2 linked regions of the Caenorhabditis elegans genome follow. The protein of the gene in region 1 purifies or fractionates together with the protein of each later gene. This does not show direct contact. Each region holds a gene or a part of one and is shown in the gene's direction. Other genes may lie near its edges.

The links.
Region 2: the proteins of hat-1 (region 1) and Y39A1A.22 fractionate together in Caenorhabditis elegans (co-fractionation; one large-scale study listed by BioGRID). This does not show direct contact.

Annotation. Positions count from the first base shown.
Region 1 is NC_003281.10:10,402,961-10,410,156, reverse strand, and holds hat-1 (Histone acetyltransferase type B catalytic subunit), read left to right. Parts: upstream 1-2,908; 5' UTR 2,909-2,915; coding exon 2,916-2,997; intron 2,998-3,042; coding exon 3,043-3,463; intron 3,464-3,510; coding exon 3,511-3,570; intron 3,571-3,649; coding exon 3,650-4,322; 3' UTR 4,323-4,909; downstream 4,910-7,196. Other genes in the region: M03C11.3 (PH domain-containing protein), read right to left, coding at 348-541, 1,028-1,156, 1,560-1,795, 1,870-1,894; ATP-dependent DNA helicase chl-1, read left to right, coding at 4,921-5,258, 5,320-5,422, 5,888-6,001, 6,795-7,196.
Region 2 is NC_003281.10:10,699,965-10,709,520, reverse strand, and holds Y39A1A.22 (Xenotropic and polytropic retrovirus receptor 1 homolog), read left to right. Parts: upstream 1-2,492; 5' UTR 2,493-2,565; intron 2,566-2,716; exon of another isoform or gene 2,717-2,717; coding exon of another isoform or gene 2,718-2,951; intron 2,952-2,980; coding exon 2,981-3,616; intron 3,617-4,215; coding exon 4,216-5,712; 3' UTR 5,713-6,908; downstream 6,909-9,556. Other genes in the region: W09D10.5 (N-acetylgalactosaminide beta-1,3-galactosyltransferase), read left to right, coding at 553-827, 871-908; mrpl-12 (Mitochondrial Ribosomal Protein, Large), read right to left, coding at 1,127-1,377, 1,436-1,636, 1,685-1,754; Y39A1A.21 (ATP synthase subunit C lysine N-methyltransferase), read left to right, coding at 2,718-2,951, 6,996-7,108, 7,806-7,977, 8,676-8,729; Y39A1A.20 (uncharacterized protein), read left to right, coding at 8,962-9,059.

The DNA of each region.
Region 1 (7,196 bases):
ATGAAATTTATTGTAAAATTTCAGAAAATCGCAGATTAAACTCATAATTCTACACGTTTAAGAATTTTCGATCATTTTTGGTAGATTTTAATTCTCAAGAAGTGGAAAATGCTTTTTAAAAATGCGCGGAAACCAGTATGAAATTGTTTTTTTTTGCTATAAAATTTCTTAAAACCACATTTTTTCAGAAATCAGCGGATTTTGTGGAATTTAATGTAAAATATAGAAAATCGAAAGCTTTTCCAAAAAATCAAAATTTTTTTTGAAATTACTGTCGACACTTTTGGCACTTTTTTAAACATTTCCGCAACAAAACGGCTATTTTTTTTTTGAAAAAAAAAACTCACTGATATCCATTATGCAAATTTCCAGCAGGACTCAACAGCACCTGCGTATTCGTGTTACTCGGCGGTCCCATGATAATTGGTGCTCGCTGAGCCACACGAATTGTCGGTTGTGGATAAGGTTTTTTTCGTGCTGTTGTACCGCCGTGGGATCCATTGCTTGATGGTTGTTCAGAGTCGCGGAAATTTGTTGAGGTCTGGAAATTAATGAGAATTCACGAACAGCCGGTTTAAATTTTGAAATACGGCTTTAATTTAAAAAAAAGGATTTCTCAGGTATTCTCTTGATATTTTTTCAGCCATTTTTTAAATGATTTTCACCAAAAACTTCGAAATTCAATTTTCATCATGAAAATGTCGAAATTTGTCAACGTTTTTACTCTAAAAATCAAGAAAAATCCTTTTTTTAACCTATTCGTGCAGATATCTACAGAAAATAATGAAATTTTCAGAGTTTCAGTCATTTTTATTATTAAAAACCTCGATTTTTAAAATTCTACAGGTTTTCCATGAATTTTCGCAATTTTTAAAATTTTCTCCGAAAAAAATTATCAAATATTCAATTTTAATCTATTTTTACAGATATTGTTGGAAAATTATGAATTTTTTCATAGTTTTTCAAGAGAAGTCGCCTAAAAAGCTGAAATTGAGCAAGTTTTCGAGATTTTTCACAAAAAACTCACCAAATTCGGCTTCGTGTACTCGTTGACATTTATGTGTAACGGAGAGAGTGTTTGACTGGTTGGAACACCGACAGACGTCGATGCGACAAATGATGACTTTAGTTGAGCTTCTGACGCTGCAGCGGCGGCCTGAAAATTGAGAAATTGAGAAAAACAATAGGAAAATCGATTAAAATGTGCATTCATACATGTTTTTAATAAGTTTTTTTTACAAAATCGTTTTTAAAAATCTATTTAATGGAAAAATTAGTTTCAAAACATGTTTCTAATATATTTTTTCGACTAAATTAAATTAAAATCATGTTTTGATACATTTTATCGAGAAATTAGGTTAAAATCATTTTTAAAATTCTTTTTTTTTGACAAAATTGGTTGGAAATCATGTTTTTAGATTTTTTGGACAAAATTAGATTAAAACCTTTTTTAATCCATTTTTTCAACAAAACTAACTTAAAATTTAATTTTTATTTTATTTCTCCACAAAATCAGTTAGAAATCCAGTTTCTAGGGTTAAAAAACGCCAATTTTTTACCTCAATCTCTCGTTCATCGTCATTTGTATCACGTTGCTCAACAAATTGCGATAATCCTCCTCCATTTGAAGAAGAAGACGACGCATCGAACAATGAACGATCATGTTCCATACCAGGGAACGAGTGATGTGAGGCAGGAATTGTGCCACCTATTATCACCATACAATCCGATGGGATACTTCTGCTGATGTTGCTCGTATTTGAAAACGTTGTTGGTCCGAGGTTTTCCTTCAATTCTGATATGGATTAGAGGACATTTCACATGGAAAATCCGTGAAATTTCAGAAATTTTCAGTGGAATTTAATTTACCTGTTCTTGTCGAACGCTCATGCATTATTTGATGGTCTTCCCATCAACTTGTTGCTTGGAATCTTCTGAAAATTCGATTTTTTAAAAATGATTTTTGACAATTTTGAGCGGATTTGTGAGAGAAAATTCGATTGAAAAAAAATATTTTTACATTAAAACCGTTGAAAAAACCAATTCTTTTTGATATTTTTCAAAAAATTCCAATGAAATTTGGTTGTTTTCAACAAAAATATAACGGAAAAATGGTAAAATAGCAAAACTTTTATATAAATAGGAAAAATTTATAAATTTTGCGATGAAAAATCTCACAACGAGTTTTAAAAAACTTAATTTCTGATTTTAACAAAGTTTTAATTGAACAAAACAACAAAAATTCTCGAAAATCCGCCGAACTATGGAAATTAACTCTTTTTTATCTAATTATCGTGAGAAAACCGCGAAACCCGGGCAATTAGAGCAAAATAATGCGGTTTTGCGCCATTTTTCACAATAAAAATGAGACATTTTACGGGGAAAACGCTTGAAATTCGATATTTTTGTTTGTTTATAATTTTTATGATGCAACTAAACTTCACGAATCAACTTGATCAATCAATTTATCCGTTTTGGGATGAAAATTCCGGGAGATAAGCGAAAAATTTCTGAAAAATCGATAAAAATTCACCCGGAGGCGTGAAAAACAGCACGGATCCATCAGAAGATCCCTGGCAACGTGCCAACTCGCACGGCGTATTTCGAAAAAAGCGCGACGAGAGAGTGTGTGGCCGTGAGAGACGCGCGACACTCAGACAGTCGGAGAGAACGCCATCTCTTATGAGAGGTTGCGAAAGTCAACGGGTCTCGCCGCGAAGAGACACTTTTGTGTCGATTTACGAAGTGAGAAAGCCCGCGGGAAACTTTTTTAAATTTTATTCTTTTATTTTCGTCGGAATTCCTTCATTTTTTCTCATTTTCCACGCAAAATCGGTAAATAAATTGATTAAATATCGTCTTGTTTCGCGATTTTCAAGGTTCAATGGCGTTTTCAACTCTTTAACAGTTTCAGCATGGTTATGGAGGACGTCACGAATGTCAATCGCAATCGGAGATACATTTCCGACGGACTTGCTGTCGTTAAAATGACATTTTGTAAGAGTTTAACCGAATTTTCGCTTGAAAGTTCCCATTTTTCAGTAAAAAACATGCAAGAAATCAGTACTGCGCCACGCTACGAACCAGAGATGGTCTATCAGCATTTCGGAGATGAGGAGACAATCTTCGGCTACGAAGATCTCGAGGTTACCATCCATCACACAGCTCAAACCCTCTACAGCTACATAAACGTGAGCTATTCCTCAAAAGCGAAAAACGAAAACGGACTGGAGGCCGATGACGTCATTGATAAGCTGGTTCATCCAGACGTTCGTCCGAATGTTCTGGTTTCGGGAAAAGAAGAATTCCAGCAGAAGCTCATCAAACAGAAGGATTTCAAGCCTTTCGGTGAGATGGTACACAAGTTTGAGCTGAAAGGAAAGAGCTACGAGGTCTACAAAGTCGCCGAGCAAACCGAAGAGTTCAACCTTTTCCTAGAAAGAATCCAGACTCTCGGCATGTTGTGAGTGCTTAAAAAATAAGGATTTTCCTACAAAATTTTTTTTTCAGCTTCATCGAGTGCTGCTCACTGACAGATAACACTGAAGACAATTGGCTTCACTATTTTATGTAAGTTGAGAAGATTTCGCGGCGAATTCCAGAAATTACAAAAAATCGAACGCATTTCAAATATTTTTCAATTTTCCAGCTACGAACGCTGCGACACCGGTGAAGGAGATGGAAGTACTGTGGCCAACGTGGCTGGCTACGCGACACTCTTCAAATTCTACAACTACATTGACAGGATCCGTCCACGAATTGCACAGATGCTATTGCTCCCTCAATACAGAAAATCTGGAATTGGAGCCAGTTTCATGGAATCTTTCCTGCGAGATCTTCGTGCCTCTCCAGAAGTTTTCGACGTAACCGTCGAGTCTCCCGGAGATCAGTTCGTCAGCCTCCGTGACTATGTGGATTGTGTCAACTGCATGACACTGCGGGAATTTGCACCGGAGAATCTCAAGAGGGGATACTCGGACAAAATGCGTCAGGCCGCACTGGAAAAGCTCAAGATTTCCAGACAACAAGCCCGTCGAGTCTATGAAATTTTGCGTTATCGTGCTACAAATAAGAAGGATAAAGAAGAGCTGAAAGCGCAGAGAATCGATGTGAAACGTCGGTTGTATGCACCAATGAAGAAATCGGATCAGGACTGGAAGCGTCTGAATCTCGCGTTGACACCCGATGAGCTTCGACAAGCGGCCTGTGGACAAATGGATGAGGAAACCAAGTTCTCGACGCTCTCACAGAATTATGATCGGCTTATGGAGGCCTATCAAAAAACTATTGATCGAATTGAGCAGCATCCAAGCATTTTTTAATCGTTGTATCTGTATCTTATTTTAATTTGAAATTACATGTGGGATTTTTGTATTTTTTTTAAAGCTAATTACCACGAAATTCGTCTAAATTTGCTGTAAATTTGCAAAATTCCCTTGCCGTTATTACCCATACGCGAAATTTTGCGCCAAAAGTACGGTATCCGGTCTCGAAGAGAAAAATGTATGATAAATGCGAAAAAGTGTGCGCCTTTAACGATTTTTATCAGGTTTTCATAGTTTTTCCCAGCATTTGTTAAAGTTTTTTTGGGTTTTGATTGTGATCTACGAAAAATCGACGAAAATCCGCAATAGCAAAAGTTTGAAGCTACAGTACTCTTTAAAGGCGCACAAATTTTCGCGTTTAACAAACATGTTTCGTTGCGAGACCAGGCACCGTATTTTTGGCGTGAAAATCGCTTTGGGTCCTATTTGACTTATTGTGAATGTTTCATGAATTTTTCCGCTCTCTAAACTCTCAGCTAAAAATCGAATTCCCAGTTGAAAATCCCGAATATATTTTTATCTTCTTATATATTATTCTTCAATTACAAAAAAAAAACTCACCGAAATAAATGATCTCTCACTCTATCCCAGCAGAATGGACGAATTCTCATTTCCATTTCAACCATACGACATTCAACTCAATTTGATGCGAGAAATCCGCCAATGCATTGAACAACGGAAAATTGGCATTTTCGAATCTCCAACAGGCACCGGAAAGTCGCTCAGCGTGTTGTGCTCGACGATGACGTGGCTGGAAGCTGAAGAACTACGAATTTCGACTGATTTGAGCACACGGCTCGGGGAGGTTCACACGAAAATCACGGAATGCGATAAAATCACCACCGCCGACAATTGGGAGACGGCAGTTCGTGAGAAAATGCGAGCTCAAGACGTAGAGACGGAGATTTTGGAGCAAATTCAGAGTCGGGAAAGGTGTTGGAAATTGAATAATTATTCTTTTTTAATTTTTTTTTAAATGAAAAAAATCATTCAGATTGCAGTCACGAATCGATCAAGCCCGGCGAGGAATGGTCGAGGTCTCCAGAAAGAGAAAAGCCCCGGCCAGGGATACGGATCAGTTTCTCGAACCTCAAGATGTAATAATTGAACTTTTATCCGGAAATTCACATGTGGCTGACCGTTTTTTCGGAAAATTTCAAGATTTCTGACTAGAACCTGGCTTTTTTTTTCTGGAAAAACCTTGAAATACGCAAAAATTCCAAATTTTTAAATACAAACCTTCAGTATTGCTAATTTTTTGAGAAATGTGAAAAAATGTTAACAGTATTATATAGCAAGATAGATATAGAATAGATTCCACAATATGAATAGATACACAATAGAATAGTTACATAGTAATACATAGAATAGACACTTGATGCCTCACTTTAAAGGCGCACGCTGTTTTCTGAGTGGGTCTCGCCACGATCCCAGCCACAGTAGTCGCTACAAATTTGAAGTTTCATAAATTGAATATGCCAGGTTTTCAAGAAAATGTTATTCTAGAAGTTTCTATTATAGAAATAATACAGAAATATCAAAATTCAAAATAAAATTTCCAGGAAGCCGCCCCATCGGAAGAATACAATAACGACGAGAAAAGTGAGAAACAGCGGGATTCCGATTTTTTCGATGATGTCGATGAAGAAGAGGAGAAGCCACTGAAATGTCTGAAAGTACAGAATTTATTTCAATATTTCGGAAAGTGCAATCGCGCTCCATAGCCAAATGAAAGTGCAATTCAAACTTTTTCAAGCATTTTTGTGACAGTAACTGTATATCATTAAAAATTGGAAAATCTTGGGTTTTACCGCCAATACCTAACGAGACCCATGTTTCGGGGGCAGAGCGTTTTTATTTTTTATTTGGCTATGGAGCGCGATTGCACTTTCATCTCAAAAGTCGCATATAGCTGTCATATTATTACAGGAACAAAAAATTCTTAGAATGCGTATTGGGCAACATATTTGACGCGCAAAATATTCCGACGCGAAAACTACAGTAATCCTTTGGATGACTACTGTAGCGCTTGTGTCGATTTACGGGCAATATTTTTGAAATTAATTTCTTTTCAAAAAGTTACAACGGCTCTCAATTTTCTTTAATTTTTCGTTTTTAAAAATCAATAAATAAAAGGTTTTTGTAAATCGACACAGGAGCTACAACAGCAATTTAGAGGATTACTGTAGTTTTCGCTTTGAGATATTTTGCGCGTCAAATATGTTGCCCAATACGCATTCTCAGAGTTTCGTGTTACCGTAATACGTCTTTTTTTTTTTTAATGAAAGTTGTCTGAAAAAAATAATCGAAATTAAGTCGGAGAATTTTCAATTTACCGAACAAATTTTTTTAAATGAAAATTTGGTTTTTTTGTAAATTTTCAAAACTGCATTAAAATTTTTTTAATTGAAAACTGAAAAATCAATAATTTTTTATTCAAACTGTCTTGAAATTTTCTGAATTTTCCAGATTTTCTACGCATCACGAACACATTCTCAATTGGAGCAACTTGCCGAGGAGCTCGCAAAAACTAGATTTCAACCCAGAATAGTTACATGTGCCTCACGAGGAACATTATGTGTAAATGAAGAAGTCAAAAAGTTGAAATTAAATCATTTAATCAATGAAAAATGTATGGAATTGCGAAAAAACGGAATGTCGGAAAAGGAAAAAGTTCAGAAATTGGAGAAAGGAACCACGAAAAAGACAAAAACCTGTGCGACTTCATGCGAATTCTACAATTCCACACAAATCGAAGATGTAGTGAATGGAGTCCTCTCGAACAAATTGAAAAGTACACTTGAAGTGTCAAAACAGGGAAAACTTTCCAATGGATGCCCATATTTTGCTACAAGAAAATCTGTTCCACAG
Region 2 (9,556 bases), 300 kb from region 1:
GCGCAAAAATAATTAAATTTCTGGGAACCCTACACCTTGTGTATCAAATTTTAATAAAATACTATTTACTTGGATTTTCGAGTCGCGAAATATTGCGCTAAAAATACGGTACCTGGTCTCGACACGACAAATTTTGGTCATATGCGAAAATATGTGCGCCTTTAAAGAGTACTGTAATTGAAAACTTTGGTTTCCGTGGAATTTTCATTAAAATCATTTATTTTCATAGTTTTTCTCACGATTGTTAATATGTATGTTTAAAAAATAAATCAGCAGAAAACAATGAAAAAGCGATAAAACTCCACAGCAGCACAAGTTTGAAATTTCACTAATCTTTAAAGGCGCAGACCTTTCAACATTAGCAAAAAAATGTCGTATCAAGACCGGGTACCGTAATTCTGGGGCAAATATCGCAAAGTTTTGCATCAGTGTAACAAATTTAATTTGCAAAATTACCGAAAGTTTTTGAAGACTAAAAAATCGAAAATCAGAGAATTACTTCTGGAAAACTCCCGAATAAATTCTAAAAATGTTTGATTTCATGATTTTCAGAGGATTTTTCTTCTCGCGAGCCTCGGATTTCGCTCTCTACGACTGCAGCGAGAAGTACGGTGTCCAGATAGCTGATCCATTTGATGAAGATGCTCTCCGACTATTCAACGATCTTCCACCAAAACAAATAATTGCGCCAGACTCGAAATTGTTCCGTTCAAGTCCCACAAAAGCCGGAAAATGTTCCGACCACGCGATCTCGTTCGGCCAATTATCCGAAAAGGATATGCGAGTTCTTCAATTCGGAATGTCGCTGAAAGTATTCGGACGCGGAGGTTTGTACCCATACAGGCTTCCGGTAATTTTCCCAAATTGCAGGTCTTGACACTTCTTCAAATGAGACTACCGATTTTTGATCTTCTCCAGCAGCTTCTCCAGAATCTATCCAATAGTATTTCTATCATGGGACGTGTATTTCTCTTCTTGCCGGGTGTAAATTTAATTATTTTTGAAATTAATTATTTTTCCATAAAATAAAATAAAACTTAACAAAAAGAAATGCTACACTATCTACGAAAAATTTGAAGAAAATGAGAACACAACAAATGAAAAGAGGGAAATATAGAACAAAAAATTAAACAATTTCAATGGTAGCTCCAGCCTTCTCCAGAATAGCCTTCAACTCATCGGCTTCTGCCTTTCCAAGATCCTCCTTAACATTTACCGGTGCGGTTTCCACAAACTTCTTGGCCTGAACGAGATTGAGGCCTGGAATGGCGTTACGGATCTCCTTGATGATTGCGATCTTCTTGGTATCATCGAATTTCGTTAATTTCACAGTGAATGTCATTTTTTGTGGAACGTCTGATGCGGCTTCCGCTTCGGCTGAAAAATAATGAAAATAAATAAATAATTTTATTAAACTATAATAAATAATGTTTACCCTGAGCGGCTGGAGCAGCAGCGGCAGCAGCCATCAATGGTTGATCTGGAATGTTGAGCCGCTTCTTGAGAGCCCAGTTAAGATCGGAGACGTCGAGCAGGCTGAGATTCGCGATTTCTTCAACCAACGAGCTGACTTTTGCGGAGATTGCTCTGTCTTCTGATGGCAATGGTGCCGGGCTTCCCTCGTTTAATGGAAGACCTGAAAATTTTGATATGATTTTGAGGAAAATCTTAATTTTCAGATTACCTGCGGCCTGGGAGTACTTCGCGCTGCTTCTGAGCACCTTGGAGATCGGTCGGAGTGTTCTGGACAACATATTTACCTGGAAGTTGAAAGGTAATTTAGTTTTTAATCGGAATAAGAGAGAAATATAAGTTTGAAGAAACTTTTGTTTATGTAATATATTTTTAGCTAAAAAATTAACAAATCGATACCCGAAAAACCTAATTTTAAAATAAAAATCATAAAGAAACGCAAAAAATTAGCGAAAATTGAGGAAAATTAAAAGTTTTGCAATGTTTACCGACTTAACATCTTCTTTACAAGATCTTTAACAATCTTCAATAGAAAAACTCTAAGAAACCACGAAAAATTAGCAAAACTGAAATTCCAAAATTGCATATCTTTATAAAGTAAACCCCCTTTTTAAAAAACGAATTTTAACCTGGGTTTTGGTGATTTTCAACGTCGGAACCATGCAAATTACGACAATTTTATATAAAAATTCAGAAATTTGGTTGGAAAATACGGTGGGAAACGCAAAAAATTAATAAAAATCGCACAGAAATTGCAGAAAATAAATCCGACCCATCCGAAAACGCGCCAGTAGCCACTCGTTTGCGCAATCATCAACTGCTTGCGCACTTCCGGTGCACTGAGCTCCCGATTTTTAGTCGCATGTGCCCTTATCGAATTTCGTTGTCTATCTCTTTTTCGCGAAAAGTACGAATTTAAATTTTGATTCTGTCGAGTGCAATTTATGCGTAAATCGATATATTTCCAGTGTTTTGCACTGTTTTAGGCCTGAAAATCGTTTTAAACATTTTTTTTCTGTTTTCAGGTAGAAAATTTGAATCGTTGATGAGAAACTTCATCTTATTCCGAAGAAAATCGATTGAAGAATAAAGGTGGGTATGAATTTTAATTTTAAATATTCAAAAACAATAATCCTTTGAAAAATAAAGATAATTTAAACTTAAAAATAATAAATTTTAAAACAAATAAAAAATCATGATTTAAATCAATGAGTGTTCCCCTCGAGATTGTGTTTTTTTGCAGTATGGGCATGAACACAGGTCTGGTGATTGCCGGTGTGGCTGGCGCAACGGCGCTCGCCATCTCGGCGGCCGCAATTCCGTTCGTGGCGCCCGCTCTGCGACGCGTCTGCATTCCGTACGTCCCAGCAACGACGGAGCAGCTCGCGAACGTCTCCCGCGCACTTTCACTCGCCACGAGCAGCAACAGCAACAAGAAGGGAACGCTCATTGATTTAGGCTCCGGCGATGGCCGTGTTGTAAGTTATTCCCATTTTCCCGATTTTAGATGAAGTTCGGCGAGCAACTAGCGAGCCACTTGACGCCCGAGTGGCGGAAACAATACATTGACTATGAGCGGCTCAAAAATCTATTATACGATGATATGATGGAGGTTCCCGCCGACGATGACCGCCGAGAAGAGCACATTTCCCGGCTCGACGAGAAATTTTTCAACGAGTGCGACCAAGAGCTCACCAAGATCAACCTATTCTTCTCGCAAAAAATCGCTGAAGGACAGGGAAAACATCACGAGCTTCAAACCGAACTACAAGTGTTCAAGGATGTTCTTGGGTCTCGCAGCGATACCACAGGGATCCGTAGAAGGTTCGGAGGAAAAGACAAATTCCATAAGGAGACCACACGGAATGAGCAGCAGCTGAAACTCGCATTCTCCGAGTTTTATCTTTCTCTGGTGCTGGTTCAGAACTTTCAGCAATTGAATGCTACCGGATTTCGGAAGATTTTAAAGAAACACGACAAGCTCACTGGCAACGAACGAGGACTCGACTGGCGGATTAATAAAGTGGAAAAATCGTCGTTTTTCTTGAATCGAGAAATTGAAACTCTGATCACAAATGTGGAAACCAGTGTAATTAATGATTTGGAGGCTGGAAATCGACAAGCTGGAATGAAGAGGCTTAAGGTTCGAAATTTCGCTGAAAAAATTGGAAAATTGATTATTTTATACGAAACAGAATTAACTTTAGAAAACCCAATGAAAAATTGAATTTTCGAGCGATTTTCAGTTTTTTTTTTCGGAGATTTTTTGAAAAAAAATCTAAGAAAATGCTGAATAGTAGTTTTAAGTTTTTTTGAAAATAAATAATAAAAAATTTCAATAAAATGAATTTTTTCTGAAAAAAAAATTTCTAATCAAAATAAAAATTTCCAGGGAAAAATTGTGATATTTTCAATTTTTGTTTAAAAAAAAAAGAAAATACAAAAACCTGACTGAAATCGTTGAAATAATTTTTAAAAAAATTGAAAACCTAGAAAATTATCAATATTTGATCTAAAATCGAATAAATTTTTAAAATAGTAAGGAAATTAATTTTTTTTAAATCGAAAAATTCGAGAAAAACACTCGAATCTTTCAAAAATTAAAAATAAAATAAAAAAATATTCAGTTTTTTCCGAATAAAAATTTCTTTAAAAAATGTGAATTTCAAATAAAAAATTTACTTAGAAACTAAAATAAAATTTAAAAAAAAACCGGAATGAAGAAAAAATCGAATTTTCCAGGTACCACCACTCTCGGAGAAGCAGAAGCCTCTCACCACCTTCTCCCTGGGCCTCTTCATCGGTGCGAGCATCATCCTGCTCCTTGCAATACTTCTAACATGGATCGCCTCCCCAGCACGACCTCAAGAACCAAAATGGGTAGCCGTTCGTTTATTCCGAGGACCACTACTTCTCTTCCTATCAATCTTCCTTTGTGGTGTGAATATGGCTGGTTGGGCTGCTGCTGGAGTCAATCACGTTCTGATCTTTGAAGTAGATCCCAGGAATCATCTCTCATATCAAACTCTGATGCAAATCGCATCCTTTATGATTATGCTGTGGTCTTTTGCAGTTCTCGCCTATCTATATGCTCATATGCTCCATATTCCACCATTCGCACCTCCATTAGCACTAATGGTGGTTTGTCTGATTCTTCTTCTGAATCCAATCGCCAAACCCGACTCGGTATTCCACAGAAATTCTCGATTCTGGCTTCTGAAACATTGCTACAAGTGCTTCACATCACCATTCCATTTCGTCACATTCACCGATTTCTGGCTTGGAGATCAAATGAACTCACTGACCACCGCATTCCTAGACTTTCAGTACTTTGTGTGCTTTTACGCTACAGAAGTTGACTACTCGAATGGGTGGATTGAAGTGAAGGGAATCAACTCTACCACTGGATCGGTTCCCTGGGGAAGTGTCGAGTTGTCGAATGGAAAGGATCAATGTGCTTCTGCCGCAGGTCTTCGGTCCCTCATGTCGATAATTCCGGCAATGATCCGTTTTCTGCAGTGCCTCAGACGTTATAGAGATACAAAACGAGTACATCCACATTTAGTGAATGCTGGAAAGTATTCCACGACCTTCTTTGTAGTTGCCTGTGGAGCCCTGAACAAGTACTACGAGGCTACGGATCCTAACACCACTTCGATCTTTTTCTACATTTGGATTCTGTCCTATATAATGTCCTTTACCTACACCTTCCTTTGGGATATCTTCATGGATTGGGGATTAATCGATCCAAGGGCTCCAAAGGAGGCAAGATTCTTGCGTGAAGAAATGATCTATGGTAGTAAATGGTATTACTATATGGCTATCGCTCAGGATTTTGTGCTCCGATTGGCTTGGGTGCTCAACGTCTCGCTCGGAGAAGCTTGGACTCTTGACTCGGACTTTTTGACGACAGTAACCGCACCATTCGAAGTGTTCCGTCGGTTTATCTGGAACTATTTCCGACTTGAAAATGAGCATGTCAACAATTGTGGTCAATTCCGCGCGGTGCGTGATATCTCGGTGAAGCCGATTCGAAAAGGAGATTTGGAGTCACTGCTATCGAAAATGGATCAAATGGATGGGGTCACGCATCGCGGACAGGATCTCATGGAGCGTGTCAAGAAGCAGAAGAAGTCGGCGAAGGCCTCAAGACAGCTTCTTCGTAAGAATCGGTTCAATCGGATGATTGCCGCTGCTCCGGTCGTCACTACTACTTTCATCGACACTACTAACACCTAATCGGGAGGTTTAGCGGGCAAAATATCAGGAGTTTTCGAGGCTACACGGAAACTATACTGAAATCATAGATCTAGTTTTCGTAGATGTTTTCTCGTGTTACTTCGGAAATTTCCCTATTTTCTGCCCCTAAGCCTCTTTTAAATAGGTCACATTGACCTCTAGAGCCTCTATGTGAGCAAAAATGTCTGCCTGCCTGCCTGCTCACCTTTTGTAGGCAGGCGTGTAGGTATTTATGCCTACGTGGAAGGCCTACCCGTCCCCTTTCCCCTTCCCCCAGCGTGTGCACGGTTCACTTAACACAATTTTTTTTCGGTTATTACTTTTTTTTTCAAATATCTGTTGTTGTTTTCCCCCAATTATCAGGGTTTTTCTGGGTGGGAAATAGCTGGCAGGCCACGCCCACTTATTGGCAAGTCTGCCGCGCGGAATTGAAATTTTTAAGTTTTATATAATTTTGAGCTTTTTCAGTGTTGGAAATTGCTGGAAAATCGGAAATTGAAAAATTACAAAAATGCAAATTTTTTGAAATTCCACGCGACATATTTGCCAGTAAATGGGCGGAGTCTAACTTGAGGCTAATGCAATTTTGCTCTGTTGCACGACTTTTTTCGGGGGTTTTCTTGACTTAAAAAAAAATCGTGAAAAAAAACAATATGTCAGAAAATTTGAATTTCCGAAAAAATAATAATAAAAAAATAGAAAAAAACGAGAAAAATCGCGAAATTTTGCATCTGTGCCAATTTCTCTGTTTCAGGCCGATCAGCGATTCGTTCCGCCCACTCTTGAACCAATCAGCGTCTTCGAACTCCGCCCACTCTATCTGATTGGTTCAAAAATGGGCGGAGCGATGCGCTGGTGGTCTGAAACAGAAATTTTGAAAAATCTATTTATATATATTTTTTACATCGCAACTTTTTTTCAGTTTCTTTGTGATATTTCTGTAGCTTGTAGCAAAAACGCTTTGAGATCCTGAAATTTGTGCGATAGAGCACAATCGCATCATTTCCTCCAATTTCTCAACCCAAAAACACGCCATTCCATTTTTTCATTCCATCGTCCCCGCCACAAAGCTTTAGTGCTCATCAATGACGTCACTTTCATGTTTCTAGTCCCTCTTTCTCCGAGTTGTTTTTCAATGTTTTCGCAATTTTTTTAAAAGATTTTTAGAGAGTTGATATATATATATATAATAAATTGTGTATTAAAGAAGATAATATGTGTGTTTGATTGCAGTTACTAACGTAGTAAATAGACTAAAAACTGACTAAAATGAGCATTTACAGGTGCTTCAATGTGCCAGGGAAGGGTTCAACAGCACGGGAGTGGAACTGAATTCGATCCTCGTCGCCTATTCAAAATACCGTTCAATAAGGGAGGGATTGGGCAAAGAAACTAGGTTATTTTTCAGCTTAAAATCAGAAATTTCTAAAAATTCCAAAAAAAAAATTTGAAATACTCTAGAAATTCCTTTTTTTTGAGCATTCACTCAAAAAAAATGTGCACAAAATTTTCAGAAATGTTTTTGAAAATTCTGTAAGATCCTAGAAATTCGAAAAAATTCCAAAAAACAATTCGGAATTTCAATTTTCGAAAATCCGCTTGAAATTTCTGCGAAATTCGAATAAAATCTAAGTTTTAATCCAAAAAAAAAACTTTTTAAAAATTTATTTAAAATGTAAAAAGGACTTTTTGTGCAAAATTCGAATAAAAATTTTAAAAAATTCGAACAAAAATTAATTTTAAAATAATAATTTAAAAAAGATTTTTATTGGAATTTTACTTTAAAAAAGTCCTTAAAAATCCTGCGAAATTCGAAAAAAAAAATTAAGTTTTAATTCAAATTTATAAAAAATTGACTTTTTTGCGAAAAATTCGAATTAAAATTAATTATTATTAATTTTATTAATTTCAAAATTAATAATTTTTAATTTTTATTCGAATTTGCGCAAAACTCAATTTCAATGCTATTTTAAATTGATTGAGACCTGAATTTTATTGAAATTTTTCAGAAAAAAAAGAAGTTTTTTGGAAAACATTTAAAAAATTTACATTTTTAGAAAACCTAAATCTTTAAAAATAAAAATAAATTTCAGATTTATGCGCAAGAATATCTTCAAAACTGATCTCAATCCATATCAAACCGCAGTTATCTTTGGAGCCGAGAGTTTAATGGGTGATTTGGTTCCAAAACTCAGTGAAATGCGATCAAACACAAATCTTCTTGCGTGTCGATTCCCGTTACCAGAGAATGATGCATGGAAATTGGTAAGAATTGGCTGAAAAATTAATTTTCATCAAAAAAAAAACCCGGATATTGGACCTCAAAACGAAAAAAAGTCATTACAAAAATAATTTTTTTTTCGAATTTTGCCAAAAAGAAAGTTGAAAAAAAATGTAATACATTTTTTTAGAAAAAATATTGAAAAAAATCTAAATTTTTTTTCAAATTTATGGTTAAAAAATTAAAACCTCACTGTAAATTTAAAAAATCGAATAAAACTGATTATTACATCATTTTACTGATTTTGTTTGAAAAAGTGTGCAGGATCGCAAGGAAATTTGAAAAATGAACAAAAAATAGAAAAAAAACCCCAAAAATGTAAAAATAATAATTTTAAAAAACAATCTCTAAACAAAAAGATAAAAAATTTTCAATTAAAAAAATTTTGTAAAAACTATTTTTTTTTTAACAAAAAATGCTGTAAAAACTGAAATAACGATGATTTAAAAAAAAAAAAAATCCTTTAAAAAATGTTTTTTTTTGGAGAATTCGAAGTTTTCTAAACATTGAAATTTTCTATTAAAAAAAACTGCAAAAAATTTATGCTTAAAAAGTTCTCAAATTAAAGTGAACATATTTGAACAAATAATTTCATTAATTAATAAAAAAAAATTGTAAAAACTGAGAAAAAAATTAATTATTTTTTAAATAAAAGTTTTTTTTAAAATTTCATTTTTTCCAGGAGCATCAAATCGGAGAAGGAATCGACGCTGTTTGGGTCTACAAGAGAAACTGAAGGGATCTGATAAGCCATTTGTGACGAAGTATAATAATTTTTAGTTCTTTTTTTTTAATTTTTAGATTTTTCGCTCAATTTTGTTGTCTGTCGTCCTTTTCTTTAAATCTAAATTTTCATATCAAAACCGATTTTGACATTTTTAATCAACAATTCAATTTCGAGATTTTCCGATGAAATATCCCTTTAACCTACCGAGATATTCTGAATTCCAGGAAAATTTTGTTTCAGAATGTTTTTAAAAGCGTCGAACAGCTTTCTTGTGAGCTTCAGCCGCACTCGAGCCACATATTATCAACAGAATCAGAGGTTTCCGCCAGCTTTTGTTCGGTTTGTTTTAATTTTTTTGAAAAATAGACACTTTTCTGCAGAAAATTTCGGAAATTTTTATTCAAAAAATAAATAAAATAGAAACAACTTTTTTGTAGTTATTTAATATAAAATTAAAAATTTTTAAAAACAGAAAACTGCAATTCTTTTTATTAAAAAAATCAACCTTTTTTTCAGTTTTTTACATAATTTTTTGTAGAAAACATTTCGAATTACCGAAATCTGAAAATTTTCAACATTTTGGAGCAAAAGCTTTAAAAAAATTGCAAATTTGAAGAAAATTTTTTTTGACTTCAAAAAAATTGGATTGCGAGGAAAAATCTTTAAAAATGCCACAATTTAATGCTAAAAATTGAAATTTTATCGCCAAAATTTGAAAAATGTAGAAAAATATACCGGAAAAAAACTTTTAGACATTAAAAAAAATTAATTTTTTTTTAAATCGAATTTTTCAAAACTTTCGCAAAAATATTCATTTTTTATTCTCTAAATTCTAA